3 linked regions of the Arabidopsis thaliana genome follow. The protein of the gene in region 3 interacts with the protein of the main gene of each other region in a pairwise test. Each region holds a gene or a part of one and is shown on either strand. Other genes may lie near its edges.

The links.
Region 1: the proteins of AT3G27770 (region 3) and AT3G18250 interact in a protein complementation assay, tested with the Arabidopsis thaliana proteins (one large-scale study listed by BioGRID).
Region 2: the proteins of AT3G27770 (region 3) and ARGOS interact in a protein complementation assay, tested with the Arabidopsis thaliana proteins (one large-scale study listed by BioGRID).

What each region holds. Positions count from the first base shown.
Region 1 is NC_003074.8:6,256,043-6,262,417, forward strand, and holds AT3G18250 (Putative membrane lipoprotein), read right to left. Parts: upstream 2,385-6,375; 5' UTR 2,366-2,384; coding exon 2,135-2,365; 3' UTR 2,018-2,134; downstream 1-2,017. Other genes in the region: AT3G18240 (Ribosomal protein S24/S35), read left to right, coding at 1-8, 233-634, 961-1,375, 1,452-1,653; AT3G18260 (Reticulon family protein), read right to left, coding at 4,286-4,455, 4,548-4,617, 4,719-4,860, 4,982-5,162, 5,348-5,462; CYP77A5P (cytochrome P450, family 77, subfamily A, polypeptide 5 pseudogene), read left to right, coding at 5,968-6,375.
Region 2 is NC_003074.8:22,125,309-22,132,489, reverse strand, and holds ARGOS (auxin-regulated gene involved in organ size), read right to left. Parts: upstream 2,986-7,181; 5' UTR 2,450-2,985; coding exon 2,057-2,449; 3' UTR 2,018-2,056; downstream 1-2,017. Other genes in the region: AT3G59910 (Ankyrin repeat family protein), read left to right, coding at 1-61, 401-833, 914-1,711; AT3G59890 (Dihydrodipicolinate reductase, bacterial/plant), read left to right, coding at 5,999-6,012, 6,117-6,336, 6,557-6,794, 6,974-7,107. UniProt on the Arabidopsis thaliana protein: Promotes cell proliferation-dependent organ growth. Takes part in the AXR1-dependent auxin signaling pathway that requires ANT during organogenesis.
Region 3 is NC_003074.8:10,283,448-10,291,672, forward strand, and holds AT3G27770 (plant/protein), read right to left. Parts: upstream 4,485-8,225; 5' UTR 4,221-4,484; intron 4,135-4,220; 5' UTR 4,028-4,134; coding exon 3,705-4,027; intron 3,613-3,704; coding exon 3,579-3,612; intron 3,492-3,578; coding exon 3,282-3,491; intron 3,168-3,281; coding exon 3,078-3,167; intron 2,950-3,077; coding exon 2,884-2,949; intron 2,794-2,883; coding exon 2,702-2,793; intron 2,620-2,701; coding exon 2,572-2,619; intron 2,456-2,571; coding exon 2,371-2,455; 3' UTR 2,210-2,370; downstream 1-2,209. Other genes in the region: CARA (carbamoyl phosphate synthetase A), read right to left, coding at 1-30, 207-345; EMB3123 (PPR containing protein), read left to right, coding at 1,373-2,041; MYB118 (myb domain protein 118), read right to left, coding at 5,320-5,913, 6,332-6,458, 6,565-7,013, 7,122-7,265.

The sequences.
Region 1 (6,375 bases), 4.0 Mb from region 3:
CAACAAAGGTAAAACACACTCTATCCTCTTGTTTGGTTACCTCACACTTGAAATGGCCTTTGTATTAGTTGAAATGTGTGAGTTTAATTCTCATCTCACCATTTCTCAATACCTCATAGTTTTCAATTGATCCTTCGATACAAGATTCGTAGCTTCTTATCTCATGAACTAGTAGAATAGCTGTAGGTAATCGTTTGAAATTGACTTCATTTATTGGATTTTGTGGTCTCAGAGCTTAAAAGCCGTATAGAGAAGTATTTCAATGAGGGTAATGAAGATGCTTTACCCGGAGTTATTGAAGCACTTCTACAGAGAAGACTTGTAGACAAACACGCAGAGACTGATGATGAATTGTTGGAAAAAATCGAGTCTCTACCTTTCAAAGATGATGTCAAGGATGAAGATTTTGAATCCGATTTCGAGGAAGCACATTCTACTGACGAAGAACTTGAGGATTTGTACAATTCTCCCGAGTATGTAGCTGAAAAGATGAGGAAGAATGAGTTTTTCAACATGGATGATAAGAAGTGGGATCACATGATTAGAGAAGGTATCCAACATGGGTGTCTTACTGATACTAAAGAATGCGAGGAGATTCTTGAGGATATGCTCAAATGGGACCAGCTTCTTCCTGGTAATGGCTCGTTTATTTTCAATCTTCCCGTTCATCGACTCACATCCTTAGACATAGATTAGGTTGATTAATAGACTAATGTGCGTCGTTATAGCTAAACACAATCTCTTCGTGGAACTTAGCTTTTGTAGTTAACCTTTCTATTTGGATTTTTCTGAATCATGGTATGAGAAGTTGAGAACCATTCGTTTTTTTAACTCGTAGAAGGTAATGTACTATGCCAGATATGTTACTTCTCGGATCAGTAGGGCCGTTTAGAGAATATATTGGTTTGTTCCTGTGATGCGTACATATGAACATTTCTCTAACTGTGTATGTTCATTCAGATGACTTGAAGAAAAAGGTTGAAGCAAAGTTTAATGAGCTTGGAGATATGTGTGAAAGAGGTGAAATTGAGGCTGAAGCAGCTTATGAGCTTTTTAAGGAATTTGAAGATGAGATGGTAATTCAGTATGGGGATCAGATGGAAGCTGAGGGTCCTCCCCAATTTGGTGAAACAGATGCTTCCGATAGGAATACTGACTTGGATGATCCCCCTGGTAAAGGCCCAATCCTCAGGTGGCAATCAAGGATAGTTTTTGCTCCTGGAGGTGATGCGTGGCATCCAAAGAACAGGAAAGTTAAAATGTCTGTTACAGTGAAAGAGCTTGGGCTCTCAAAGCATCAGGCTAAAAGGCTAAGGGAACTTGTAGGGAAAAGATACCATTCGGGGAAAGACGAGCTTACAATCACCAGCGAGAGGTATATATAACTATAAATCTTAAGCTTTTCGTGAGACAAGAATGTTGAATCATGAAATGTTTTTGTCCTGTCACAGGTTTGAACACCGAGAGGAAAACAGGAAAGACTGCTTAAGAACTCTTTACGGGTTGATAGAAGAAGCTGGGAAAGCCAACAAGATCGCTGAAGACATAAGAACTTCATATGTAAAACAAAGACTCCGTGCCAATCCAGCTTTTATGCAGAAACTACAAGCCAAGATCATAAGGTCTAAAGAATCAGATGCCATCAACGCTTGAACAAAACTTTTCCCGGTTAGCGCCTTTCTTGTCTCACCAAATAATCTGTAGGATCGTCTTCTTTTGGCAATCATTTGATCCGTTATGGCTTTTCAGATCCATGAAGAATCTTTGATGGTAACTCCTATCTTAGTTTGGTTTGCTTGTTGTATCTCATGAAGACATGAACCTTGGCTGTGCTGTTGGTGTCTATTAGAGACTAGTTAACGTTTTCTCAGAATTATGAATCTCTCCTAAAGTTAAGGTTTCAGATATGTTTACGGGTTCAGAATGAAAGTAACCAAAGGAAAGAATTGGTACAATTTTTGTTTGGGTTTTGTATCAGATGTCTTTCTAATTTTTAAAGAAATTCAATCAGTAAGATAAGAAATGGAAACTAAATAAATTATTGCTTCAATATACGATAGCTATACATCTATAAACGAAAGTAAAATGGTCGGACTGTTCTGTTTATATTTTCCTGACGAAGAAAAATGAAATCTCAACCTCCACAACCACCACCGCAACCGGCACCGCCACAACCTCCGCCACCGGTAGAGGTGCCTGAAGTGGCTCTGTTGTCGGAGACTCCGTCGGCACAAGAGAATAACAGAGCGGAGAGGATACAACAACCGATCACAGCCAGGAACACAACATGAAACAGGTAACTAGCATCGAAATGTGTTGTTGTGGTGGCCATGCTCATTACATCTTCTAATAAGTGTCTCGCCATCTCTCTTTCTCTAGTTAATGTGGATGAGATTAAGTTGTTTAACGTGAAAAGCTTTCCTACTTATAGCCGATAAATTCGTACGTAAGGCCACTGACTTTTGATAAATTATTCGTTCAGTAGTAAGATTTCTTTGTAATTAAATTTTTCTTTTTAAGAAAAGAAGACTTATTTGTTAAAATATAGAAAAGACTGCAATACAAGACTTACCAGAAAGTCATCCATTTTAGTCTACTATTCTCCTCCTCTCAACTAAACACATTTGACTGCGGAATTTTGATGGAATCACGTATATTAGATGAAGATAGGACCCGGTTTATAATAATTTCTAGTTGAAGATTATGTTTCTTTAAAAATATAAAACTTGTAATTCGAAAGGCTAGGCTAATTTTATAGGTCAAGATTATATTATGCTTTTAAAGAAATTTAAAGTTCAATATTTGATAAATTACATACATAGTTCTAGTTAAGGTTTTGTCGAGGAAGTTTAGTTGAAGATAAGGATTTTTGACCATTTACATTAGCGTGAGAAAAGTCAAATGCCATAATATAATTATCATTAATCATAATGTATAAATCAGCTTGAATTGCCTCGTCTTTTTAAAAAAATTATAAATATTGAAGTGATTGTTCATGGCCTTTGTTAAATCCAATAAAAATACAGAGATTTTGTACTGTTTAGTTATTTATCATTGGTTATCATTGATTGTTCATAACTTTATGCATGAGAAGCTATTAAGTCTCTCTCTTCTATTTCACGTGGACTCCATTTTTGTTGTTGGTCCAAATTTGACTATGCAAAATCAAATTCTTATCAAAGGACTTTCGACGTAACCCAATGTTCTTCCCTTTTTTCTTTTGGCGTCTTATTCTTCTACCACTAACCAAATTTAATTCATCATGGATTATGTAATTTCGTAATCTAAAAGCTTCCGAAACATTTGACCAAACAAGAATATATAACTCCGTAATATATATTTTTATTTATGTATACAACTGCCAAAAAATACCAAACTTCCATTTTTTACCAAAAAAATATCAATTTTTTTATTTTATAAGTATCTAACTTTCTAACAAAACTTATAAAATACTTTACGTCCATACCACATATTTTGACGTACGCAGTTTGAACTAGCTAGGTGTGAGCATCGATTTTTGGGTATAGTATGTTTCAGATTTTTGGAAAAATTAAAGTTCCTTAATAAAAAGGAAGATTGAAAAATGTGTTAGAATAGTCGATGTTAAGCGAGAGAGAAATTGTAGGTTAAAACAAAAGTGAAAAGTCTAACTCCACTTATTATTAACATTGTCATTTTCAAAATAACAAAATATCTCTTTGACAATTTTGTAGAACAATTGGTATCTATTTTAGACAAAGTTTGGTTTGGACAAAAAACGAAAATTTGGTATTTTGTTTTGTATTTTTTCCCATACATGTAAACAAACGTACGTATCTTGATATTTATCCGACCACTTTCGCTTTCGATTTAGTGTTTATTTATTTTATTTTTATAGAAGAAAATTATTATTGAAAAAAAAATAGCTCGGTTTTGGCAAATCTTAACGTTATAACAGGTTTTAGGAATGTGATGGTGATATAATGTGCAACAGATTTGCAGCGATGTGCTGATGATACCCGCTTTTCAAGTGATTTGGTCGATTTATAGTTTATTATTATACTCATCAAGGTTAAAACTAGACCAATATCATTAATTGGAGAAAGTTACCATAAACAAGTTCTTGTTAATTATTTCCCTAGAGGCTTGATTTTCACAATTTCACATCATTATTCCATTTGATGATGATTATCAGATCTTAACTTCTTCTTCTTCTTTTAACAGATATGTATATTAATTTGGGTTGATGAGGTCGCATAAATACAGTAGCAAACACATTATCTCTATAAGTAAAGAATGATCAGAATTAAGTAAATTTCTTGTTTTTGACAGTTCCTCTTGGGATTTTACTAAGAACATTCGTATCGACTTTCTTGTACAGCTTCTTCATCTTCCTCATCAACTTACCCGCCGCTGTATCCACGTCGTCCTCGTACATCTCATACATAACCGGTAAGGTTTGCATGCTTACAAACCCTGAACGACACGACGTCCATTAATTCCGTTAATTAATAAAAGGGAATTAAATCTACATATATAGTTGAGTATCATGACTTAATTCTTCTTACCTATGAAGAGAAGATTCACAAAGTTGAAATATGTCCCGATGATGGATACGATATAAAGCGAGATCGTTGTCTGGAAATATAGTAACCAATTTAAGCAAAATAATAATGAATCCAAAGTTATATATATATATATATATAAGTGGAAAATTATTATTCTATATAATATCTTACGAGAAAAAAGAGAGGAGGATCTCTTCCACAAGCAACGTCAAGAAGCTTTGTGAGGATTTGGTTGAATCTAACATGGAAGCTTCTTGCTAATTGTTTGAAAGAAGATTCGTCTAGTACAACTTCTGGTATTAGTGGTCTTTCCCTGCAATTTTGTTTATTTAATTGTCGTTTTATTGGTAAGGAAATCTTGTAATTTGTATATTTTTAACCAATTGATCATGAGAAATTGAAAAAAGATTAATCAAGTAAAGATATAAACATACCAATTGAGAAAATCAGAAGCAGTAGACCAAATGAAGAAAAAAAGCATGGAGGTCATGGAAGCATGACAAATTAGGGTTATGAAATTGTATTCCACTACTTCCATTAAGAACCATAAGATGCTCACTCCTATCACCAATGTTGCTGCTATTTTCGGCTCTCTCCATAACAGAATATCCGCAACTGTTAATCACGAATGCAAGTTGTTAAAATTTAGTGTTTGTCTACATTATAATTTTGGTGATAATTTTGGATAATAGCAAAATAAAATGTGATATTTGAAGAGAATTGATGGATATAAACATGTACTTTCACACACGCATACCGATTGAACCGATATAAAGTTTGAAAGAGAGTGAGACAAATACCTTTACCACCTCCAAATATAGAGTGAATAGATCGTTGACGAGTGAAGAGCTTAGTTGTTTTATGGATCGTTCTTTCGTCTTCAGAATCGGAGGACGATCCCGTAAATATTGGCATGGTTGGATCAAATTTATTAAGATAAAAGTTACTGCGGTAAGAAACAACAATGAAATGAATGTAATCACTATGTAAAATAGTTGATTTGGATTAGGAGAAAATGTGAAAAGCAACAAATATAAGAAGAAAGAAGAAGAGATAGGTTCTAGGCTTGGGAACAAAGGTAACAAAAACATATTCAAGAAGCAAAGAATGGGAATGGTTTTGACCTTGTTCCTTCTCCCATTTATTTCTTCATCTTCATGTCTCAATAAACTATTCAAACCCCTCACGTACGTTGCATATATTTTAACTGAGTGTTATCTTCCCGGTATAAGTGAAGACCCGAAGATCTGGTCTAAACCGTAGCAATTTGAACCGAACCGGTTTATAACAAGACGCCGATTTAACCGGAGTTGCTGGAGTTAAGATGATTCCGTTCGGAATTGGCCGTGGGATTTGCCCGAGGCTTGGAACGACAAATTGGTGTTCGCGGTGGTGATGAAGAATCCGCTGAGATCAAAAAATGTTTTCGATTTTATCATCATCTTCTTCTTCACAACTCGTCAATTCAACTCTCAATTTCCAAAATTCGCCGAAATCTCCGATCACCGTTATGTCGAAGACGTCTAAATTCAAAACCCTGACGGAGAATTTCACCGTGAGAGTGCTTAAAGCAGAGAATCGCGAACTGAACGTGGCTCTGCTCTCACCTTTCACTATCGCTTCTTCACGGCTTGATTCTGTCAGTAATGTTGCGATTCGGATTGAGCTCAACGATGGATTTGTGGGTTGGGGAGAAGCTCCGATTTTGCCGTCGGTAACGGCGGAGGATCAGATAATGGCTATGGTAAAAGCGCGGGAAGCTAGTGAGTTTCTGAGAGAGTTACCGGAGATGAAACTCGGTAATGTTCTTCAGGAGATCGGAAGATTT
Region 2 (7,181 bases), about 12 Mb from region 3:
TCTCTGCTTGCCAGAGCCGGACAATGAGTCTTTCTGATACAGTAACTGTTATGGCTCAAAGGTAATCATGCAATCTTTTAATTTCTCTTTAAGTATAATTCTAAAGCAGATTTGGGGTGCTTAGACTGGTTGGCTGTTTCTATTTTTCCCTGTTTCTTTTTATTTTGCTTCACTCACGGGAACCTTAGGTATATTTGTAGCTGCACAAATTTTTCCTTACTGGTTATAGTGTTTGGTTATATCTGTATGTAATTGGTTGTCAGGATAATCAAATGACACTGCTAGTATTTGTGGGCGCTGATGTTACTAAATGTCATAGACAAAACAATTCCGCTTAAGAAAACTTTAAATCAGTTTGTTTAACATGTGAGTTCATATTTGGTTTGTACATGATGTATAGGTTGCATGAGCGTCTCCAAGAGTGCAACGGGGATGAGATTCTAAAAGCAGAGGCTGGTGCCAAAGTTCAGAAGTTCACTGAATGGGCTCTCAAATGTATAGGTTTCCACTCCCGATGCCAGGGGGCAAAGGATAGAGTTAGCCAAAATTCGGCTGCTGAAATTGAACTACAACTTTCTGCTTTCAAGATGTTCTTAGATCTAGCAGGAAACCATCTCTCAGGAAGAGACTTCACTGAGGCCTTTGATGCAGCTTGTTTCCCGCTCACTCTGTTCTCCAACTCGTTTGATCCTGGCTGGGCATCTGGGATGTCAGCTACTGTTATACAGGGACTGCTCGGTATGCTTGTTGAAGGTGGCGCAGATAATGTGAACCAATGTTTCCTTGAAGCTTCACGTTTTGGTAGTACAGAACTTGTCCGCGTCTTATTGCAGGTAAGCTTCCATTCTTTTGATTGCTTCTAGACTTATAGAAGGTCTCTTTTCGTGCTCAAATATTGTATTTCCTGGAGCAGATTGCCCAAAGGAACAGCTTAGATGTTGATGTGGACTTAGCTCTTGGTTTTGCCTCGCATTATTGTAAAATCGGAACAATGAAGTGCCTAGTGGAAGAAGGTAATGCCATTGCCTTCTTGGGTCCCTTAATGAGAGCAGCAGAGAGAGGTTGCATGCAAGTTGTTCAATGGTTTGTGAAAAGAGGTTGCCGTGACATGGAGCTTTGCTTGGCTCTAACAGCGGCCACTTCAAGTTGCCAAGTCGAGGTAGCTGCTTATCTCCTCCCTCGTGTTCCACCACCTGTCTTAACCGCTCTCAGCATCGAAATCCTCAAAGCAGCAGGAGAAAGAAGCGGAGGGTCTCTCCAAGGAGTAGAGTTTCTTCTCAAATCAGACTTCTTAGGAGATTCCACGGCTACATACTCAGTGGCAGACAGCATCGCAAGGTCATCAGAAGACGAATCCGTTCCTTCAGATCTAAAATCGTTTCTCCAAGAACACTGGTCGGAGTCAGCTTTTGAGAAAGGAATGAGAGAAAGCCATGACGATTTCATGAATTTCATGAGAGTTTTGAAAAAAGGGGAGTCAGCGATATCCTTAAGAGACCTTCCTGCACCGCTAAGAGTAGCAATAGCGTACATGCCGCTGTACAGAGAGTGCATGAAAGCGGACGGTCGGTTACTGTCTCAGAGGCTAAGAGGACAGCTTGTAGAAGCAGTGAGACAGCTTCAAGGCTGTGCTGTTGCAGTTGTGGAAGTAAGCCAGACTCGTAACCTTATGGCGGTTTTGGAGCATCACCTTACCGCCATTTTCGATTGAAACAAATGGATTCTGCTTTTGGGCTTCACTGGTTTTCTAATTTCTACGAATAGTTGAAAATAAGCAAATAAATACTACGATTTAAATTAACGGATATTGGGATTTGGGTTTGAGATGACGAAGTGAGGTTTTTTTTTTTTTTTTGTATAATTTCTTCTTATGATGCTTCTATATTATGTCAGTCTCTTCTCCTCCATTTCTCTTATTGTGCGTTGAAGTATTCTCACATATATATATTATGATAATTTAATGTAATATTTATAACTTACATTTATATTGTATATCAATTTCATTGGATTAAGAACCCTAAGATTAATTAAGATCATCATATAATAAATTTCAGATTTACATGAAATTGCAAGTTACATCTGTATTAGCATTAGAATGAGAAGAAGGCATGAAGGCAAGAACGACGAGTAAAACCATAATCCCAATGGGAACCAATAGCAGCATAAACGGAGGCGGAGGTAACGGCGGCAAAACTAACGGAAGTATTAACAGAGATGCCGTTAGACCAACCAATAGGAACAGAGACTCTAAACTGAAATAATTCGCCGGGATCATCATCCTTTTCTGCGCCGAGAAACTCCGCCGTAACTCTTGCTTGCTTTTCTCCGGCGAACTTCGAAAGCTCATGTTTTTCCGGTTGTTTCTTCCGACGTCCATGACTCGGTTGTTCGAATAACTGTCTTGAATGTTTATAATATCTTTTTGTAAGTTTGAGATTTCTCGAATCATCTACAGAGGTTGTTTTGCTGTGTCTGGTTTGGATTTAGAAGATCAGTGACAAAATTTTGCTCAAAGATCTGATCTTTAGGGCAACTGGTTAACCAATGCAGCTTGATCGAAGCAATTGGTGAAGAATTCGAGACAAAATAAGGATGGCCCACGATTCAGAAACAGAGGATGCAGAACAAATCCGAGTTAACTCAACGATTCAGATGTAAAGGAAGAAGCTTTGAGGTGAAGGAGTTTGAGAAGCTTTGTGTATTGGTTTTGGTTGGATCAAGAAACTGTGTGAAACAAGTACTAGTAGGGAAATGAGGAAGACAAGTAGCAATGAAAGAGGAGAATTTATTAATAAAGGAGTTGGAGGAGAATCAGAAGATATGGGGGGAGAAAGAGAGAGAAGAGGGTTCAGTGAATTTAGGGATTTTCTGATATGTTGAAAAGACGAAAAAGAGGAACGTTTATTATATAAAGGGGCTGACAAATGTGAGGAGAAGCAAGTTGCTGAATTTGAAAGATTTGAATTTCGTGTGGCCTAGTCTTCCTCCACAATCACAAGGTTCTTCTCCCCTGGTCTTCTTTTCTCTTACTTTTTCTACCATTTCTTTTACTTATATAACATATGACGTAAGCTACAATCTCCTCTGATCTGAATATGTAAGTAGTATTTAAATAAATGAGTTTTAAAACCATCTTTTTACCATTCTATAAATTTTTAAGAAAATAATTTTCTAGTTTATTTTGAATCATCCAGTTATTAATATACAGGTTGATTTTTAAAATTTTATAATCAAATATTTGATGCGATGAGGAAATTATTTTTATTAACGTACCTACCAATAATTTTGTCGATGTTTATGGATAAATAAGGACCCATAGTGTTGTTCTTCTCGAAGCACTTCATATGGTGAATGCGCTTGTTCTACCAGGAAATGTTGGGCCAATATATGTATATGCTCTCATATTTCTATATATAAAGCCAAGTTAAATAGCTAGGAATGTTTTTCAAATTAATTCACGATGCTATTTTTATATATTTACGTGTATATGGAGATCGGACATAGTAACGTGACAACACGCTTTGCATGTGAAGTCTTGATGAGAGGATGGTTTTTAATAAAGCCAAGATGTTTATATCGCCAGAGGATGAATTCTCACAGAATGATGAATTAAAGCAAATAGACTTCGCTAGTAACTCAGTCGGAAATCACTTGTTACTTTTAATATATAAATATAGTTAATCCCATAAATATAATTCATGGTTCAATGAATTGAGAAACATATAGGCCATTTCCTTTAGAAACAACGTCAAGTGGTTTTATTAGTTTTTTTCCTGGCCTTTAGATACAAAAAAGCCGATGAGTAGTTTGGGAGAATTGATAGATTACCAATACTACAACACTAGTTATCCACATTAATTGTGCAGCATTACTTTAATTAGGCCAAATTAACAATATACGAAGACTGCAGCTTCAGATATTAAACTATTTGACGTGTACCAACAAAGTTTTTTGCATGGATGACAAACCCTAAATTAATAATTTAGAATGTTTATATCGAAAGATCCGCTAGTTTCTACTCCTACTCTACAGATACGAAAATCGTATATTTAGGGATGAGAAAATGGATCTCCTTGAATCGTTGACCAAAAAAAGGAAAGAAAATTGTCAAATGGATCTTCTCAGCATAAGCTCAACTAAAAAAATCAATTTATTTGTGTTTAGTGTTTGTCTCTACAATCAAGAGAATACTTTTACTAAAATATGGGTTCATAAAAATGTTCACTGAATGTATACACTAGTAACCAAAACTTATTTGGTGCGGTTTAAGATTTATTTTTTATTTAAATAAAAGTACTTCCTTTTAAGTTCTTTGGAAACAAAAGAATTAATCAGTTTAAAATTCAGTTCACTTGTGTGTTTGTTCTTGGATAGATATACAGTATTACGATTAAACATCTCTATTTGTACGTTTTTAATTAGTAATGGAATTTGTTTATTGAAGACTAGATGAGTAAATAATGGTGGAAAGTTAAGATGTAGGTGTGTATATATGGCAACCCATGCATGATTATTGCCTTGAACACCGCACACATTTAGATTGGTGTCCAGTGGACCTGTATCAAAAAGTTCAAGAAAAAAAAGTATTATCATAATATTATTCCCTCTGTCTTACTAATAAGTCAGTCATGTTTAAATATTGCTTCTTCTTGTTTTATATACCCTACTTCTAATTTAATTGATTTTCGACAGTCAATATGCATAGACATATGTTTTGGTCTAATTCTTAGACACTTGATGCATTACAATAATCTCAATAACAAGGTCCATATGCTCAGTTTCATAACGTTCGCGAATTTTAAAGATTTTTGTTTTGGTCAGCTTTTTTAGATTTGATAATATTATTCGATTATTATCTTGTGAAATATTATTCCATTATTATACTAAGTATAATTTGAGAAAAAGATTACTACAGTATAATTTGAGAAAAAGATTACTACAGTATAATTTGGTTGATTTGTAAGGAGAAAGGCGATCGATGAGACACTGAGGATCGAACCACATGTAAACGTCACGTGGCTCTTTGCCTTTGATTCAATGCATGATCTCTCGAGTCTCGACCAAACCAACTTGCCTAATTAATATTCCTCGTACGACTCTTTAATCCCCTTTTTTGTTTGCTTAAAAAAAAAGATTACAAATTATTTTGTTTGTTGTTTTTTTTTTTGTTTTTTTTAATCCCCTTTGATACAAATTATTTTGTTATTGTGGAAATTTAACCCAAATTATTTGAAATTCTTTCCCCGACAAGCATCTCTTATTGTGGTTGGTCTAATAGGATTAATGGTCGTTTTCGTGAGTGATGTTATCATGAAACAAGTTAATTGAAAAGTGTTCATAATTTGGTTTCCAAAATTTAGGAGTATGATTAGGTTCAGAGTATCATAAGTTTGTATGTCTTAGTGACAAAGACAAGAATAGGTATACTTACTTTTATGGGTTAAACCTTTTCATTTTATCAAGCTTTAATTAATTAAAAATCACAGATTGAAAGGGAAATTAAACGAATGACGAGAAAAAAACAATGTATCTGCTGCTTACCTGAGGTCGGTCATTGGGTTCATTGCATTGATCCTAATATACCAAATTTATGGTTCATATTCAATTTTATATTTTTAGCTAGCTCCAACAAAAACAATGTTTCCGTACATTTTCGTTGTCAAAAAAACAAAAGATGATTCATGACCTCTTAATTAAAGTGAAATCCGGACTCTGACCATTAATTAAGGAAAAAGTAGAGAAACTCCGGTTTGATAAATTAATTAAATAGAAATTCCGGTTTGACCATTAAAATGAAGAGAAATTCCGGTTTTCAATTTTAGTAACCTTTCCGGTTTTGGTTGAAACACCCCAACCTTAACCAGAAGCTTTGGATCTGACGTAAAGGGAAAATGTCTAAAACCCTACCGTTCGCCGGTTCGAATTTTTCAGACAAGGTTTGAACATAAATTCTAATTTCGTTGCTCGACAGCAATCTCGGACCAAGTGGAAACCGAAAATGGCGGCGAATGGGTACAGTTTCTAAACTGGATTCACTCTCTTCCGACATTGGTTTGATGAATTGATCTTTAAAGTTGTCATTTTTGTTGTTGTTCTTGTCTGGGATTTGATCACAGGCTAATGGCGGCATCTAGTGTGTTTCTCCACCGTCCTGTACATCCCCATTTCTCGTTCTCTTCTAGAACGAATCAAATGGTTCCACTCGGCTTCAAAGGCCGTGTTAGTTTCATCGGCAATGTGAAACGCTGTTTTCCGGTGGTATTGTCAATGGGAAAGTCGGAGACTTTCGAGGAAGCTGGAAATTCCGTTGCGCCTGGTAACGGCATATCGATCATGGTATCTGATTACTTCCCTAACACTCTTGAGTTGTGACATTTAGCATTTCCATTGATGATTGTGATTTTCCCGGAAATTTATAGATGGAAAGCTGTTGCCTTTTTTTTTTTTTCTAGCAACAGAAATATTTTAGGGTAAGTTACATAGATCTTTGCTAGAGTGTAATTGTAGGATCAAGTTATAAGCCATTCGTTCACTCTTTTTAATCTTTATACTTTAGGTGAATGGATGCAGTGGTAAAATGGGGAAAGCTGTCATCAAAGCGGCAGATTCTGCTGGAGTGAATATTGTTCCTACATCATTTGGGTCTGTTGAAGAGGCTGGCCAGACTGTTGAGGTCTGTGGAAAGGAGATTCTTGTGCATGGTCCTACTGAAAGAGAAAAGGTGCTGTCTTCAGTGTTTGAGAAGTATCCTGAACTAATTGTTGTGGACTACACAATTCCCTCTGCAGTAAATGGTAAGTCTAGCAACTCCTATTCCTGTAATCTGAAGAAATTTCATTTAATGACATCATTATGATTAGATGTGTGTTGAAATTTGATTTTTTTCACTATTATAAATGATCCTGATTTATGTGAATGTGACAACACCACATCTTTAGAATCTTTCCAATGTGTGTTGTTTTGCAAAATGTAGATAATGCAGAGCTGTATGGCAAAGTAGGAGTTCCGTTCGTAATGGGAACAACTGGAGGAGACAGGACAAGATTGTATAAAACTGTCGAGGAATCAAAGATTTATGCTGTGATTTCTCCACAGATGGGTAAACAGGTACTTACCAGTGTGTCATACAAGCTAGAAATTATGTCTGTAAACTCTCATCCTTGTGACCCATAATATCTTTT
Region 3 (8,225 bases):
TGTACGAAGTCCAAGGTTTCTCCACAACACCTACGATGTGCAAAAATCAAAACTTTCACTAAAAGGTTTTGGCACTAATTCTTAAGACAGAGACTTTCTCGATCAAACGAAAAATCCAAGCTTTACCCTTTATTCAAGAACTAAAACCCAATGGAGACAATACACAATTTCATCAATTTTGAAACGGAAATGAAGGCAAAATTTACCAGAAGTGGGAAAAGTGAGTGGAGAAGTGGAGCAACGGATGACAGAAACCCTAAATCCACCGCCGCGACGGTCGAAGGAAGGCTGGGAAGATAAGCTCGTAGGCAAAACAAAGCCTAGAGTCCTTGTTGCCATGGCCATGTTGTTTTCTCTGGAGGAAGAAGAAGATCGAAGAAGAAAACGGCGTCAAGGTTTTTTAGGGTTGGTGGGTCGATAGCTCTTTTTTTGAAATTAATTCGTTGTTATTATTACAGTATCTTGCTTTGACTTTTGTTGACTTTTTTCTCTAGTAAATTTGGTCACATAATCATAGTTTTGTTGCTAAATAAAAAGGGATGAAAATCATAGTTTTGTTTATTATAAAAATAGAATAAAGTATCGAATATATGTCTAAATTTAATATTTAAATAATTATATATATAAATAGATTTTATATAAATTCGAAATAGAATAAATATAAGGTTAAATAAAAGTAAAAAAATCATATATTTATATTTTAATAAGGTAAAAATGTTTTAGGATATTAGTAATTAAACGAGTTAAAGAAATATAAGATTTAAGATAGAATGTTGCTAGCATTCTATCTTGATTTTTTGAAGACTGATTTCAGTTAGAATTGTGGCAACAAATATGAAGATTCCAGTACTTAGGTCATATGGTAAAATCACGCGAATTCTTAAGTTTTACAAGATCGAATTCGGTGGTTCTCTTTGTAACTTGGCTTTCTTTGCTTAGAAGCGATCCAAACCTTTTTTAGTAGTAATGTTGTATTTATTTTTCTGTAGATTATTTTTATATGTATTTTGTAATCTTTGTAATTATGTTAAAAATTAAAATTGGTATAAAATTTAACTTTTTAACAAAAAAAAAAACAATCTGAAAAAAAAAGAAGAAGATAAAGTCGTCAAATTGGTATAAAATTTAACTTTTTAACGAAACAAGAATTTGAAAAAAAAGAAGAAGATAGAGTCGCTCTTGCAAGTGTAATGATAGACTCGTGTAGAGAAATTAGCGGGAACAGAAATATAAACGACGCATAATTAGAAAGTATAAATTAATTAATTTTGTGTCACATATGGGCCTTTTATAAATTAATATGGGCTTGCCCAATGAAAGACCATCTCTCTCACTCACACAACCACACTCGTAAAGATTGGTGTGATTAATAATGGCGCTTTCTCTCAGCCAGACTCGACCACCAAGCCTTAGCCATAGCCATACCCTTAGCGTCATCGTTCCTAAGAGAACGTTCGTTTCGATCCGATGCGGTCCACGAGACAACCGCGGACCACTTCTCAAAGGCCGAATCCTAAGCACCGAAGCAATCCAATCAATCCAATCTCTCAAACGAGCTCATCGAACCGGTGTCTCCCTCTCCCTTACCCTCCGTCCTCTCCGCCGTCTCATAAAATCCGATCTCATCTCCGTCCTCCGTGAGCTTCTCCGTCAAGACTATTGCACACTCGCTGTCCATGTACTCTCCACTCTCCGTACAGAGTATCCTCCTCTTGACCTTGTTCTATACGCAGACATTGTTAATGCTCTTACGAGGAATAAAGAGTTCGATGAGATAGATCGTCTTATTGGTGAAATTGATGGAATTGATCAAAGAAGTGATGATAAGGCTTTAGCTAAGTTGATTAGGGCTGTGGTTGGAGCTGAGAGGAGAGAGTCGGTGGTTAGGGTTTATACCTTGATGAGGGAAAGTGGTTGGGGGTCTGAGTCATGGGAGGCTGATGAGTATGTCGCTGAGGTTTTGAGTAAGGGTCTCTTGAGACTAGGAGAGCCAGACTTGGCTTCTCAAGTCTCACTCAAATCTTCAATTCTAAAACCTTGAATTTTCGGGTTTTCGGTTTGGTTTGGTTCGGTTTTTGATTAAGTTCATACACTTTTGGCAAAGATTGCACTATATTCTGTTGCTATGGTTAGTTCTTTCGATTTGGTTCGAGCTGAAATCAATTCGGGTAGCGAAAAATTTACGAAATGGTTCATTGCGATATGCGAATTGGATCGGAAGTAAATAGTTTATGCATTGAAATGTTGTGGCGTTTACAATGATCTGTTTTGAAGATTTTAGACATATGGGGTAAAAAATTGTTTCTTTGATTGTTGTAACCCTTGAGCACTGACTCTTACGGGGCAGAAACTCTTGGATTCGAAATGACTTCAAGAAATGAGTTTGTATTTGATTTTGACGATTAATGCAAAGAGGCCATAAGAAGGAAGATGCAGGAGTGCCACCAACAAATACCTGCAGATGCATGAATTAAAATATTAAGGATAGGCGTAATCATTCTAAGGAATGAAACATTATGATATAAACCAATCCTGACTAGTGTCTAGTATGTAAATGTTTTCAAGGCTTACCACACTGGAGCCATGTCTAATGACAGGTTGAGAAATGGATATGGCCACCTAAGTCAATCGAGGAATACAAGTGTAAGATTAATCAAGACGGTAAGTGTAACATACAAAAGATGACAGAGAAGAGTTTTACCCAACGGAGATAAACATGTGGAGAATCCACTGGAAAAGAACGAAACATCCTGTCCATAAGATGAAGTAAGAGAACCTGAACAATGGAAATTTCTGCAAAGCAACATCACAAAAAGACCTCAGGTTCAACACATTAATGAAAACGAAAACTCGTCGTAAATGCAGAGGAAAGAATTGTTTTACCAGACGGTTTAGAAACGTGTCAATAAGCAGCAAAACGAGGTTGCTTGTGTGCAAATTCACAGTCATCTGAAAACACAGAATTTTGACACTAGAGAAGTTGAGACTAAGTTCAAGAGGGTCAAGTGCAACGTAGAAAGTGCCATCAGCAGTGTACAAGCTTTAACTAATATACGGTAAATGGCGCGAAAACTTACGAAACTCATCTCATAGTCCTGTAAAGACAGAAACGGGAAAATCACGGTCCAATATATACTGTCTGTAAGCACAGCTGCTCCAGCACCCATCTGTTTTTCAACAAACCAAAACACACAAGTATCAGTGATCATATATACACTAATGAAACAAGAAATCTGAAAGTTGCAAACTATACATCATAATAACCAAAGGAATCTGTCTACCTGATATATAATCTGGAAGAGATGAACATATGACTTTAGTGCTTCCGAACCAGAAGTTTTTCTCTTCTCGAACGAAACCATGTTGTCACCATCTATAAGAGGCGAACGAAACCCGTTCTCTGCATCGATTCCTACTTGATCAGCGATAAGTCCAGTGTTCCCTTGCTTCTTGTATTGTAAACATCCATAAATTGAAAGCAATGATCCCATCTACACAACACACAAGTGACAACAAACATTCAAACAAACTTGACTATAACCATATACATATTCACAACATCAAAAATCAAAACATACCCCGAAGTAGATTGCTATCAAAGTGAATGTCCACCTACCAATCAAAACCTCAATCATATCAGTCTCAAAACATCAAAGATATTCCCTTTCCACACAATAAAGCAGAGATCTTTAAAGAGAACTTACTGAGTATAATAGTAGTAAATACGCCATCCACGATTAGCAAACCGGGCAATATTGTTAGCAAGAAGGAAACAAAACCCGAGAACCCGAAAACCCAACAACCAACCCGGATGGATTCGTTCAAAACAAGGTCTCCAAACATCATCAATGCACAAAACATCATTACCATTAAGTGATGGTTGAGTTTGAACTGAACTATCTTCATACTTCCATAAGACTAATAAAGAAACAATCATTGGAACTATTACCCATATAGCACATAGTAACACTCTCCAATTAAACCAGTAATCAAAGCTGGTGAATTCCAAAACATTCTCAAGATTCATTTTTTTTTTCTTGTTCTCTTGTTGATCCGTCTGAATATTCGGATCTTTTAGATCCGAAACTCAATGGGATCAACACCGGACTTGAAAACCCAGATCAAAAACTGTCTCTGCAGAGGAGTTAAAAGTAGCTTAATTGATTTACATATAGAGATATTAGTGTTAAGATTAAGTAGCTTTGATTCTTGATACTTACGTTATGTTAAGAGAAATGTAGAAGCTTGTCCTTGTTCTTGTTGTTGTGTGTGATGGAGAAGTCAAATTGAAACTTGGAAGGTGATGAGATATGAGATATGTATAAATCTGAAGAACAATCCAATGGCGGTGTCAGAGGCCCACTGGAATCGGAGAACACAGAGTGGAGACAAGGACAGGTGGGACCTTCTCCGTTTGTCCAACGCTTAGTTGCCAAACGACGTCGATTTGGTTTCGTGTGTATTTTACTTAAATAGGCCTAAATCACAAATCTCATATAAATGGAAAGATATCTACAAGCCCATTATTATTTTTAACTATTTGTAGTTAAGACTAAAATTGTTAAGTTTTTTTTCTTTTTTTGTTGGAGGAATTGCACAAAAAGAATAAGAAGTAATGGTTTATTGTATTTGGTTAAGATCTCAATTTTCTATGTAGTTAGTCAAAATATCATTAATGAATATAGATCCCAAAAGTTTTATGTATTTTTCTTTTAGTTATGTATGACTTTTCGAATGGTGATATACAAAACAAATGGAAAACCAAAATATAATGTATACAAAACTCTCATTACGTTTTTTTTTGTTTGTGTTTTGCCTAAAATTTCTGGTATTACAATACGACGGACCATATAGTCATTATGACGGTAAGGTAACAAATTCCAGAAAATTACAATACAACGGACCATACACATATTATCCCATATTACATCATACTAACCAGATATTTTGTAAACAACTAGTACTTTTTTTCTTTAGCATAGTCGATATAAAATTATTCTTTAGTGACTAAATGTACTTGTTGTGGACCTAATGGTCGTCTTCTCCTAACCGCAAACGCAATTACCATTCATATAGTATAACAGAAAATTTAACAATATATATAGATTCTTAATTAAAATGAAATTAGAGAATAACAAAAAAAAAATCTGATAAAGCAAGAAAACCTTCAATTTTTGTTTAGTCCAAAAGAAACCTTCAATTAAACCACAATATATATTACATGTCCAATTCTTCAATTAAAAGCACAAACATAATTTCATAAATAGCATAATTATATAGGTAGATATAATCAAGTTCGACTTGTTTATATTGCACGGTCTAAAGACGACCATGAGCAATCATCTCCAGCAAAGCAATCTCGTTCATCATAACTTCATCACATCCATGCATCACCATCCAGCTATCAGTCATCGGCTCATCAATCTCCATGGTCACACCACTTCCAGAACCAGACGCAGAACCAGAAGTAGACGCTGATCCGGAGGCCGACATAGCCGCCAATGACGGCATCTTGATCCTTCCATCTTCTAAACCCAAGTTATTCACACCATCCACAATATACTTACATTCACCCTCATCATACTCCGAGACCGCAACCATTACATTCTTACCTTTACCTCTCATGTTTCTTGGACCAATGTTTGCGTTTGCATTTGCGGTCATGAAAGGATCATCATTGTAGGTAACAGACCTAATGTAGTTCTGAAGAGTGTTGCTACCAAGTGAAAGGGAAATTTCATCTTTTCCTTTAGTCCTCCTCGAGTGTTGTCGACGTTTAGTCGCGTTCCAATGGTTCTTGATCGTATTTTCAGTGCGTCCCGGGAGTTTTCGAGCTATCTCAGCCCATCTGTTCCCAATCTCCTTATGGGCTTTTATCAGTATTATATCCTCTTCTTCAGTCCATCCATCTTTCTGTAACATACCACATAAAATATGCTTTATATGTAAATAATACATACAATATTAAACAAATATTTTTATTTTTTATATGTTTTTTTCTCTTTTATGTTTGTTGAATTATATGAGAGAATCCAAGTGACAATGACTTTAGTTTAAATGTCTTACCAATTGTGAAGTTTTGTCCGCAACAAGAAGACAAAATGCCTTAAAGAATTGTCATAGACATATATGTATATACAAACAAAAGTTTAAAGTATTCATGCATGAAATAAAACCGTATACATGTTGACAAGTGTGAAAAAAGTTTGTTAATATTCTCTTAGAAGATTCTCAATGTATCATGTAATGAATTTGAAAGTATCGAAGATGATATTTTGTTTTTGTTTCTCCTATGAAAATAAGAAAATGAAAATAAAATAAAATAAGAGACCTTGATATCGGGACGGAGATGGTTATGCCACCTTTCTCTGCACTGTTTTCCAACTCGTCCTTGAAGCATCTTAGCAATCTGAGACCATTTTTTAGTTCCGTGAAGGTCCACTAGCTGCACCAATAACCTAAATATAGGTAGAATCATTAGAAAATATTAATATTAAAAACAATATCATACTAGATTAAGAAAATTATTTATGAGAATTCCAAAAAATTAGATGTTGAATTTACTTGTCTTCTTCAGGAGTCCATTGTCCTTTGATGATGCTAGCTTTTTTTGTGGGTTTACATATCCTCCTCATCTGAAATCTCTTGTTCTTCTTCTTGATCTGCTCGGTCTTGATCATTACCTGGTTATTTTGACGTCGATTCATGATGGTGTCTTCGTTTGCGCTCAAGAGTGGTTTTGGCATATTGAATTGATTAGAGTCCGCCATGGCTTGATTGAGGGTTGACTCGGTTCCAAAGATGAATCCTTGGTTTTGATCGTTTTCCCACATAGTATTGTCATGTGAGACATGTGAAACGTTGGGTTCAATAGTTGGTGGGGTGGTATAGGCCATGCCAAAAAAAACATGGTCGTTGGATGTGCCATGAAAACATGCCTCGAAAGCTTCAGTGCATGGAGAAGGAGTGATGCCCCTAATGGTTTCTTTTGATGGTATTTCATATGTGTGAGGCTGCATATCAAAGTGATAGGGAACAATATTAAGATTTTGAGTAAAGTGATAGGATTGAGATCTTTAATGTGAGATTCTTGTGAAAAAAAGATCAGGATTAGAGTTTACCATCGATGGTTTGTGATGCACATTGTGTACACAAGAAAAATCATCGGTAAGAGATGGATGAAAATCTTTTAAAGTGGAGCTATCATCGTAGATAACGGCTGCGAGATACGGATAATGCATTTTGAACACTGACTCGAACTCCATATGATTATGATGGCAAAAAAAAAAAAATACAACGTTTAGAAGATGGAACTACCTAAACAAAAAAAAATTGAGTGAAGCATGAAACCCTAGATCTGAAAGAAGAATGAGTTGGTGATGAACACAGATACTTTTTTTTTTTTTTTGGTTTAAAGAACACAAGTCTTGAAAGAGAGCAATTTAACTTGACTGCAAAAAAGGATAACGAGGAAAGTAATTGATTAGTGAAATGAAATTCAAGCTTGAAGATGAATTTAAGGAAGAGGAAAAACAGGGAGAAGTAAAGGTAAGGGTAAAATATTAAGACTTTATAAACAAGAACAACTGTGAAGAGCGATGAGTTGGCAAAGATCTAACCTTTGATAACTTGGGTGAGTTAAAAAGTTACTTTAAAAACAAAATGATAGTCCAAGGGTAAATTGGTCACTAAAATTTGTCATGTAATAATCATGAAGTCGTTATAAGGTAGTTTGTATTGTTGCGGAAAATTCTCGGGCATATTTGTGACAAGTGTAAAACATGTAAGCATTATAATTTCTACTAGCCGTGTGATTATCTTTTTGGTGTTGCAATGTCAATCTAATGGTTCGTATCAGCATAGGGTCCACAAATTAGTTGGTCCCACAAGGTCCAACTCTAAAACATTGACCAAGAAATCTAAGATGATGAAAAGTATATATATAAATTAATGATACTACACATTTAGTTTAATTTATATCTTCACTTTTTAGCAATAGGTAGTTACTTTAAAAAAAATTAAAGTATTTAAAAATAAATATCATTTCTCTATAAATTTGGTTTGGTTTTTTGAAAATTTTAATTAATTAATGTATGTTGAGAAGAAAAAAATATCATATATTTCCAACTTTAACAATTTAAAATGATATTCAACATATCGTCTATTAGAAATAAAAATTCCATAGATGAATTTTATGTTCCACAAAACCCTTTATCTAAATAATA